Linked DNA regions of Xenopus tropicalis. The protein of the gene in region 3 interacts with the protein of the main gene of each other region in a biochemical or structural test. Links are inferred from orthologs where the notes say so. Each region holds a gene or a part of one and is shown on either strand. Other genes may lie near its edges. The genes, in order: cul2, cul1 and cdc34.

Evidence for each region.
Region 1: the proteins of cdc34 (region 3) and cul2 form a complex in vitro, tested with the Homo sapiens proteins (2 studies listed by BioGRID). The link is inferred for Xenopus tropicalis from reciprocal best matches to the Homo sapiens genes CDC34 and CUL2.
Region 2: the proteins of cdc34 (region 3) and cul1 form a complex in vitro, tested with the Homo sapiens proteins (3 studies listed by BioGRID). The link is inferred for Xenopus tropicalis from reciprocal best matches to the Homo sapiens genes CDC34 and CUL1.

The regions. Positions count from the first base shown.
Region 1 is NC_030682.2:21,665,045-21,668,700, reverse strand, and holds part of cul2 (cullin-2), read right to left. Parts: intron 3,144-3,656; coding exon 3,033-3,143; intron 2,019-3,032; coding exon 1,856-2,018; intron 1,084-1,855; coding exon 959-1,083; intron 109-958; coding exon 1-108.
Region 2 is NC_030682.2:55,181,783-55,185,438, forward strand, and holds part of cul1 (cullin-1), read right to left. Parts: intron 1,738-3,656; coding exon 1,606-1,737; intron 1,382-1,605; coding exon 1,289-1,381; intron 789-1,288; coding exon 741-788; intron 1-740. UniProt on the Homo sapiens protein: Core component of multiple cullin-RING-based SCF (SKP1-CUL1-F-box protein) E3 ubiquitin-protein ligase complexes, which mediate the ubiquitination of proteins involved in cell cycle progression, signal transduction and transcription.
Region 3 is NC_030677.2:105,629,972-105,633,727, forward strand, and holds the start of cdc34 (ubiquitin-conjugating enzyme E2 R1), read left to right. Parts: upstream 1-881; 5' UTR 882-1,038; coding exon 1,039-1,221; intron 1,222-3,614; coding exon 3,615-3,701; intron 3,702-3,756. UniProt on the Homo sapiens protein: E2 ubiquitin-conjugating enzyme that accepts ubiquitin from an E1 ubiquitin-activating protein, and catalyzes its covalent attachment to other proteins by an E3 ubiquitin-protein ligase complex. In vitro catalyzes 'Lys-48'-linked polyubiquitination.

The DNA.
Region 1 (3,656 bases), on a different chromosome or scaffold from region 3:
CTTGTCTAGTGCACTCATAAAGTGCTGATCACCATTCAATACAGAGTTGACAAGCTGAACAAATTTACTGTGAACTTCTAAGACTGACTCCACAAATTGAGTTGGCATCTGAAAGATAAAAAGGGAACATTTATAAAAAAACACAAAGAGAACTACAAGAAAAAAAAAACTTAAAACATTTAAATGAATTATAAAAATACAAAAATTCATGAATGGCAACTACAAATGATCTGAGATTAGCACTGGCTAGTGTTCCCTGTACTTAGTGACATACTGACCCAAGGCCATTTGAAAAAGAGGGAACATTCATTGTGCACAGTTTGGAGCAATCACATTCTAATGGGAAATAGTCTTAATAATATACCATGTAATAAATAAAACCCAGCTGGCATGTAAAAGATTAAATAAAACTTCCCCATAATTCATTTCATTTCATGTTTCATCGGTATGAATTAGCCATTTTCTTTAAGTTTCTTTGTCAGGAAGCATGTGGCACTCTGTGGTGCTGGCCTTTTGTGTACTTGGGCATTTTCATTCTTATTGCTACTTAAAGATAAAGTACATAAACAGATATATTCCTTTAAAATCCAAACCCTTTTTTTTTTATTTGGACTATGGTATAATATGGCCAGATTAACTCTTTGTTTCGCATTAGTTTTTAAAATGATAATTTGGGGAATTTGGCCACATGTTCATATCTTTCAACTGTCTGATCCAATGATGAGTGTGGCAGATTTAAAGATGTCAGGCAGGGAAGTAATTTCCTCGTTTCCTTCCTTTTCCCTCTTTCAGGGAGCTCTGCATCTATGGTCTATGGCACACAGGGCGTTATGCCTGCCTGTACAAGTAGCAGCAAACAATTGGTGCAGGCTATAGCCCGTGGCTCTGCTCCTTCATATTTTATCCCTACTGCTCATTTAGTATTTATGCGGCTATCAAGGGCTTCATGGTTACTCACGTTTTCCTGAGAAAGATTACTAATAGCTCTAAGGCCTTCATCGTGGATATGGTTTTGGAGTTCCTGAATCATATGAGGTAAACCATTGGATACAGCACGGAGAAGAGTGTACATGTTGGCCATATCTGCAATGCCACAGAAAATAATGTGACACAAAGTGATAACTGTAACAATCACGAGTTAACATTTAAACAGTTTTTTAAACTAATTTTACTCTGTGGCATTGTTACACTAAAATACTAAAATATTTATAATCCCCTTAAATTAAAGCCCACTTTTCAACATTCAATATAGAGCACAATATATCTTGCCATTCAAGGAGGCTGCAGGACACAAGGAGTAAAGTAAATACAATAAGGTAAGTTTGAAAGAATTACAGGAAATTTTAAAATTTCCCGTTAGGACTAGGGCACCCCAGCTGTTTGATACAGGGACCTAAAAATTAAATAGCGTTAAATGGCACAGATTTAAATAGCGGATAAAAGATGAGCCCTGTAGAACACCATTATATTCTACAGAACTTATCTGCTATGTAATCTGAGCCTTTTGTTTCCTTTGAATAGCCTCCCTCATTGCTACAGAGATTATTTATAAAAAAAACTATATTAGTGTTTCTAAAGCAAAAATACCAGTGCAAGGCAAAAGTTAATTATAATCACTTTAAAACACAATTTTTTTGGAGTTACTGTTCTTTAAAAGAGAAGTATTAGCTTATCAACACTACCCCTGCTGAATAAAAGACTTTCCATTTCTGACCTAAGCTTAGCAACATCATAATAAGCCACTTTGATAATACAGTTCTCAACCAAAGCATATATTATGATGATGGCTAAAAGGCTGAGAAACTGAAAATGGTTTCACCTAAAACAAAAGAAAAAATAACTGCTCAGTGCTTACCGCTTCTCCTTTCTTGTCTGATGATATTGTGACATTCTGCGTGTAGAAACTGCAAGTGGTCTGCCACCATTCTCTGCTGGCATTCATGAATCACTTTATTATATGAACTGGGGTGTAAATACTTTCGACATCGAATCTCTTCATCTTTTAATCTACCTAAAATCTGCACGTAAATAATAAATAATAATGTGCAAGAAATCTTTAAAAACGTATTAAAAACAAGGTACGTGATTGCTTTAAAATTCATGTTTGGGTTCTGCAACTTAATCTGAGTCTCCTTAGAAAAAGCTGTTATAATGGGACAATGACACCTGTAAACTGATATCGCTCTTGTACTTGCTGCCCCTGGGATCAAGACCAACCCCTATAGTTTTCCCACTCCACTTAATAGAAGTTTAAATATTCCATAATTTCCCCTTTACACACAAAAAAAAAGGCTGCCCAATGTACTTAAAGGACCAGTACAGGTATGGGATGCATTACAAATTAGTACAAATTACGGAAAAAGCCATCTCCTATAGATTCCATCTTAATTAAATAATTCAAAATTTTAAAACTGAATTCCTTTTTCTCTGTACTTGATCCCAACTAAGATATAATTAATCTTTATTGGGGGCAAAACAATCCTATTGAATTTATTTAATGTTTAAACTAATTTTTAGCAGACTTAAAATATAGAGGTCCAAATCATATAAAGATATCCCAAGTTCTGAGCATTCTGGATAACAGGTCCTATACCTGTAACAGCAAAATATAAAAGGGCCATTTAGCCCTATTTCAACTTGAATGGATGCCCACATGGCTACACAGCTTTATTATATTATAAGCTATAGTAGTGCTTCTAAGACAAGCATACAACTTTTGCCAGTGCATGTAAACAGTATATTATTTTTTTAATTTTGCCCCACTCCATTAAATTATAACAACAAAACAGCAATTAACTTTTACATTCATACTGTGGCTTGAATAATAATAAACATCTGGTTGGCTGCTATGGTTTTCTGAGCAAAAGAATACTCTGACCAAATATTACATTGGTTTTAACTCCCATTACTGTTATGGTTTTGTTCCAGAGTTGTAAGGTAAACCTTACTAATTCCTATAAATTGTACAGAAAGCATAATATACATTTTAATAAATCCACAATAAAAATACATAGGCTGTTACTTTTCTTTACCTTTTCCATATATTGTGAGCAGTTTGACTCTTGTAATAAATTTGAAGCTTCTTGTTTATAATACTCCCCTGTTTCAGCCAGAAAAGGCAACTCAAATATTTCTTGATAAAACTGTAATAAAGCACAGTATGTTGATAACGCAAGAATGTTTTCAATAGGCGGTGTAAGCAGCGTCTTTATGGCCACAATTGCACACATCTACACAGGCAAGAGCAAAATGTAGCTGCCCCATTAGGCACACAGAAAATATCATTCACTTATACAAGCACAAGCAACATTGCATCATTGTGGAGGCACCAGATATAGTTCCACTTACACACATACAGCCACACAGTTACACAGGCAATACCAAAGCTTCACTTTCACCCAGTCACATGCACAACCACTGCATGATTCATCCGCCCACAATAAAAGCACTGTGTGGTATCATTGTGGTATTGTTTAAAAGATCCTATATGTATTGTCAGACCAATCTTAAAACTACAATTGCCAATTCCCCATCTGTTTAACAATAATTATATTATTTTATAATTTGTCCTTAATCGGTCATCTGTTTGTACAAAATCCTATCATGTAAGCTGCCTTAAAACACAAGCAAAATCTTAACTATCCAACACAGAAGGC
Region 2 (3,656 bases), on a different chromosome or scaffold from region 3:
GGCCAAAAGGGAAAGTGTACAGACCTATCGTGTACATACACCTATTCAACTTCACTCTTACCATACATTGGCTTTCAAGGCAAGTACCACTTACTACTTTATTTCTCTGTGAGGTAATTTCCAAGTAATTGCTAATTATTATGATTACTCTGATCTAATGAAGAAATACAGCAGATGCACTTAACACAGGCAATGTATAGTAACATATGAGTTAAGCTGTAAGTAACATCTTAAGCATATGTTTATGTCAACGTCGTGTAATTCACGAGATTCTTCTTGTCTTTCAGAGGGCAATGTATAATAATGACACCCAAAATGTAAACATAAATAACCCTGACCATGCTTACATTGGCTATTATGTGGCAACCATCATTACCTAGGGATGACTTGCATTAGAAGGGGAAGCCCTCAACACCAGTAAGGCTTATACCATGCAAGGTGCTGTCAAAATGCCAATCCCATGATTCCTGTCACTGCTTAATGGCCATGGGGTGGGTTAGAGTAGATTGGCATTTTTTTAGTCTGTTGACAAAACACCATGTGACATTAGCCTAAAAGTATATTTTAACGCCTGAAAGCTTACAGTCCCAGGGATCTTTAACTATGTGATAATGATCGCTATGAACACAATTTTTTTTAAAATCTTTTAAAGGGACCCGATTCCAAAATTTCTTCTGAGCTACAGAACTGTATTCAGCCTATTGCTGTTTTAGGCGAACACCAGAAACTGTGAAACTTACCAATAACTTAGACTTCAGCAAAATTTGAAGAACTTGCACAAGTATATCCTGCAAAAAGGAATAAAGGAAATGCAGCAGTGTGATAAGATTAATTTAGAATTAGGAAACACATGAAAACATTTGTAGTCTAATTAGACTTTGTGAACCAAGAGCTTCCATTCTTCTAGCAAGTACATTAGGTGTTTAGGATTACGGCTCATCTTAGTCCAATATGAATTCTGGAGATAAAAGGTTGTCATTACAATGACAGGCGGGACAGGCAGTTCCAGTGCCTCTGCTAAAAATGTGACATTAACCTTTAATCTGACAAGAGTCTGACAATGCTAGAAATGAAGTCATCTACACCCAGAGCTCCAAGACTGGTAAGTGGGAAAGGAGAAGTGTGTTCTGATCAGCACTACTAGTAGCCATCAAAATTGTCCCACATAGGCCTAACCCTAGCTGCCAAAATAGTTATTATTACAGTTATCTCTGTGACAATCTATAATGGCTTTTAACAAACAAGCATAATTTTTATAAGATAGAGGCCTTAAACTGTATACGGTTACCATTTTTATCTGTGTGCTATCTGTCAGTTGCTGCACTGTGTAGGCATCTTCTGTGTTATACTGCAGCAGGATTGCCATCTGGAATGTGGATGCCTGAAAAAGGAATCGGGAAAAAAGACCACAGTATACATCATACATCAAAAGCAAGGCAGTACTAAACAGTACCAAATCATTAGTAATTTTCCATTAGTTCCAACTGCAATGTTACCATGCTGTCTCTCAGTTCTGCACTGCAAACCTCTACTTCACAGTCAACATGTGATGTGCACAATTTGTTTTAGGTATTTAAGCAATACACTTCTTTGCTTGCAACATACCTGCAACGTGTATCTATTTTTAAAGCAGTTTGTGACCAGTTCTCCTTTAGACAACTGGTATAACCAAGTCAACTTCCTTCCACTGTGGCGGCTGGCATAAAAAGCTGTAAACCTTTGATAGCTGCGTTCCAACTGTAAAGGAAGAGAATTAAAACATTTTATTTGTGTTCTGCATATGATAAGTGGGTTGAACTGTCACATTCATAAGAGCACCCACCTATAGTGATTAACTGTATTAATAAACTATAAAGCCAAAGGCTTTTGTTCTCCGTTTCGAATCGTGCTCATGGGAAAGGAAGAATCCTACTACAAGGATAATGGTCCTACCTCCAAAGTGCCAGTTCACTCACACAAGTCCTAATTGGCCCTTACAAACCATCAATTAGTTTGCACCTCCTATGACAGCCCACACAGGACTTCTTGGGTCAGGCTATGCATCCGATTTACAGGTCTTGGAAATGCTCTTCTAAACCTTTAAAGTTGCTTAAGGTGTTAACCTATTTTTACAGGCTTTTACATGAATTTTTTGGTCCACTGAAAACTGTAAAATTTGGGTTGTACTATTCCCATATAATGTAGCCTATTGGAACTCCTATTGCACTTTTCAACCAACAGATGGTGCAAAACACTTAGAAAACCCCACTTAATAAAGAGTAAAATAAGTTACAAGTTACAGTTTGCAACCAATAGGTGGCACAATCATACTAGAATGGCACATTTAATTAAGCATTAAATGCACCAATTAATTACAAATATATCAGTCCACTATAAATCTATATAAAGCTAAAATCAATTTGTGGGTGAAATAAAGAGATTTTCTAACCTGAAAAATCTTTTTCTCGTAGGCCCTACCTGGCAGTGCAAGACATTGGGTTAAGTTATTTCTCTCTGGAGGCAGGACAAACTGATGTCTTTTTTTTTTTTTTTTTGAAAGGTGCATTTTATTAATTTTCATACAAACATAAAATAACACATTTTATAGTGCAATGAGGAAAACGTATTGGACTTTCTTTTCCAGGTCTATCTCTAACATTTGTTACAAACATCAACGGGATAGGTTTAACATTACAGAGTGTGAATGCGAGTCTGGCAACAGTTCCAACATATTGGGTCCGTCACGTTACCGAGTTAGATGTTCAGGGTATGGCAGAAAAAGGTGGGAAGGCGTTGGGGGACTTACTATGCAGCTAGGAGCGGGATCGATCAATTTCCCTCTAGGTCACACCAAGGGCCCCAAATTTTGTCAAATTTATCAGGTGCGTCTCTCGTCTCGTATGTGAGTTTATACAGAGGGGCTACCGCATTCACTAGATTCTTCCAGGCTGTAACGGTCGGCAGGGTAGAGCCCATCCGATCCATTGCGACTGTTTTTTTTGCATAGAACAGGAGAATTCTGTAGCATATCCGGGAGTTATTTTGAGCAATTATACTGTCTAGGACTCCTAGTAAGCTAGTAAGTTTCGGGAGCAGTCACAGTAGGGAAGGCTAAGTTATTCGATAAGTATTTAGTGACTGCTGACCAGAACGTAGCGATATGGGGACATGCCCAGATCATATGAAAAAGTTAGCAGGGCTGGCTGCACATCTCGGGCACTTATCTGTTGGGGTACGGCCCATCTGGTGCAACCTTAATGGTGTGATATACAGGTGATGAAAGGTTTTATACTGTATCAATCTGTCTCTAGTAGAGATGAGACAGTTACACATGGAGTCTGTTGCCTCCTCCCAATCATCTTGGGTGAGTGTTGGTATTTGGGAAGTCCACCATATTTGTGCCGAGTTAAAGGGTTTGGGGCCTTGATAAGTCTTTCTTGAAACCCTTTCTTCTTCGTGTCTCCCCCTCTTACCCCGCAAAGCCTGCTGGGGGAGACAGAAGAACCGAACTATCAATGTGACGAGCAGCAATAACTAGCACCCCAAAAAGGGAGGAATGGTGCACTGACAGTACGGCCTACAAGAAAAGATGTTTCAGGGTAAAAAAAACCAAATCTCCTTTTCTCAGTCGGTCAATGCAGGACAACTGGGGAAGTCCCAAAACCCTCAAAAAAAAC
Region 3 (3,756 bases):
TACAAAGTGTAGCACCGGCCTGATGGAAAGTGTTGGGGGCACCCAATAAATTGCCACCCACTGAATCTAAGTTTCCCTGTCCTTTAAAGTGCACCTATGACCCTTTAACTGCTTCTCCCACCAGAGGTGCAGGCTAATAGACGCAGCACTTTGGTTGAGGGAAAACGATAGTTTGGTTTTTAAAAAATACAGCAACTGCCATTTCTAGGCTGCCCGCACCTGAATGAAGCTCCCAGTACAGGCAACCATGTTGTTTGCCATGCGTGGGCATAATAAATGCGCCTTTCCACTTGCAGATGATGCGCATGCGCCTGATCTAGGCGTGGTGGATGCAATTCACCCTCCATCACAAGCATGCACATAATAAGCAACTTGTGGCACTCACTCATTATGCACATTGTGAGAAATGAGGCAATATGGCTGCCCACACCTGGAGCACTCTTCTGCTGCAGGCAGCCTAGCAATGGTAGGAGCTTTTTTTTTTTTCACAAAAAGCTATTGTTTCCCTAACCTCTGATGAGGGAAACAATTTGAGGGTGATAGGTGCCCTTTAAGGTGAGCTGTATTAGAAGGTTATATTCTAGGAGATTAAAGGATATATTCACTGTTCATTCAGAAACTTTGTGTCAAGTTGAAGTTTTCTACTGCACTACTAAATAAAAGCTCTGTAAATCACGTTTCCCCACTAGAAACCAACATCTAGCTTTGTTCCCATCAGCCTCAGCAAGACCCCTCCTTCCTCCGCTCAGATTACACTTCCCTCGCACCAGTGCGTCACAGTGTTCGTGGGCTTGTGGGATTTGTAGGCTGCTCCTCCCACAACGCCGTGGCTTCACTTGCAGTTTCCGGCACCCGTTACTCTTCCAGCCAGCAAGTTAATTCGCAAAGCGGCTCCGTTGTGCCGTAACATGTCGTAATAAAGCCTTTAGTCGTCTAGCAGCCCCTTCTTGCTAAAACACCAAAAGCCTACTGATCCCATCCTGCCCTACGCGGAGGACGCTGTGGGCTCCTGGTTAGAAAGCGGGGAGCGGAACTACCATGGCCCGGCCGGTGGCGCCGGTGCCCAGCTCTCAGAAGGCCTTGATGCTGGAACTCAAGGGGCTACAGGAAGAGCCGGTGGAGGGGTTCCGGGTCACCCTGGTAGATGAGGGGGATCTGTACAACTGGGAGGTGGCAATCTTTGGCCCCCCAAACACCCTCTATGAGGGGGGGTACTTCAAGGTGAGGGTTAGGTGTGTGTGAAATGGTGGAGTTCGTGATCATAGGGGCCTTGGGGAGGGAAAGCCACGCTGGGGGGTATTTAAAGAGGCAGTAAGTAATAGAGGCGTGGGTGGGTATTGCGTACATCGCTGGGCCTTTCTGCACAACAAGCTTTCCTTTGTTTATGTGACTCCTACAGCCATAGCCGTAACTTGCCCGAAACTAATGTTTCACATGAAACTCAACCAGCCCTCAAAGCTACCCCAAAACTAAAACTTACTGAAAGAGTGTGGCACTACTAAATCTTTAATCCTGTTTTCTGCGAGTTGTAGTCCAACAACAGCTGCTAGGCCCCAGCCACAGGATGCACGGTGTTAGAAAGCAATAAAGGCCTTTGTGTAACAGGAAAACGCTCTAAACTCTTCATCTAACTTCTGATTTGGCACTTTGTGTTTGTGGAGATACCCTGGGTTTATATGTATTCATCCTGTGCCTATTTCATAAAGATTTTCAGAAGATTAATCAAACATAGGCGTTCCACTCTTTTACATTTTAGTATGCCATACTAGCTACATGTATGAAGCCTCATTCTTTTAAGGATTAAAGGGGTCTCTATACTTAGTTTTGGGCAGTTTTGTTAAGATGTGCCTTCTATAGTGTGTGTGTATATATATATATATATATATATATATATATATATATATATATATATAATATTAGTTTCAAGGGACTACTTATTCCTAGACATTTGCACAGATCAAGAAATTTAATAGGGGTTTATAATGAGATGTTAAATGGCTAGAACAATGTAATTGTGTTTTACAGGGGTGGTTCACCTTTAAGTTAACTTTTAGTATCTTATATAAAGACCTATTCTAATCAACTTTTCGAATATTCTTCATTATTTGTTTTTCATAGTTTCTTAATTTATTTGCCTCCTTGTCCTAACTCTTTGCAGCTTTCAAATGGGGTCACTGACCCCTGAGCCAAAAAAAAATCATACTAAAAAGTTAAGTCAAAGGTGCACAACCCCTTTAAAGGGGTTGTCCACCTTTTACTTAATTTTTAGTATGATGTAGAGCGTAATATTCTGAAACAATTTGCAACTGGTTTTCATTTTTTATTTGTAGTTTTTTTTAATTATTTCAGTTTTTGGTTGTCTCCAGCTTGGAGTTTCAGCAGCTATTTGGTTGCTTGGATCCAAATTACCTAAGCCACCATGGTGTGATTTGAATAAAAGACTGATATATAAATACGAGAGGGCCTGAATAGAAACATAAGTAATGTACAATAACAGTTAAACTATAGCTTCGCAGAACAATAGTTCTTTGGCTTGGGGGTCAGTGACCCCCCTTTGAAAGCTGCAAAGAGTAAATAATTCAAAAACTATGAAAAACATAATGACTAATTGAAAAGTTGCTTAGAATTGGCCTTTCTATAACATACTAAAAGTTAACTCAAAGGTGAACCACCACTTTCAATATATGTATAATATACATATTATTAGGGATACACTGAATCCAGGATTTGTTTCGGCGTTTGGCCAAGATTCTGCCTTTTTCAACAGGATTCGGATTCAGACGAATCCATGTGCCTGGTTGAACCAAATCTGAATCCTTAAAATCACTATTTCTTTATGTAAACCCAGAAGTTGAACATTTTTATTCCTTTTATAGGTTAGTTTTCAAATGCAAATTAGAGTTTGGTTCGGTATTAGGCCAAATCTTTTACAAAGGTTTGAATCATAAAACTCTGGAATTGGTGCATCTCATTATCCAGCCTCCCTGGAACTGAAAACAGACCTTATTTTTTATTTACTTATCATTAATCTGATGACAGCTGAGCTTGCTTACCCATCATGCAGTTCTATAAGTATGAGATCTATTATTCTGAAAGCTTTTGGACATAATTCAAATCTTTTATTGGGGCCTCTTGCATGATAGCCACATTCAGAGTGCCAATGCACCCTCATTCAATAGGATTTTCAAACTTGCCGTATTGAAAATTGATCAGCTATTGGTCAGACGGGCCCTATACACGAGCCAATAAGCTGTTAATTTGGCCTGGAGGCACTGACCTAGCAGCTTTTATTGGCCCGTTTATGGCCTGCTGAAGCATTTAAAAATAAAAACCAAGATGATCTTTTAGCCAGAAACATGGATTTATGTTAGCTTAGTTATCATAAAGCACAAGATACTGTTTTATTGTTACTACAGAAAGAGAGCAAACAAGTAAAAAATTAATAAATTACACTTTTTTTTTTAATAGACTGAAATTTGGTTGATCTACTCTTAGATATGTTGCTTGAGAACCATTATTTTGTGCTAATCGGAGCTACGGTGTGTTATAACAAAGGCATGGATCTCAACCATACTCACTTGCTTGTTAACCATTACATGTTCTTTTTGTCCTAGGCCCGCTTAAAATTTCCAGTTGATTACCCCTACTCTCCTCCTGCGTTTCGTTTTTTGACAAAGATGTGGCATCCTAACATCTATGAGGTTAGTAAAGACAGGTTGGCTTCTTCCCTTGGTGTAGGATAAAGACAGTTGCATA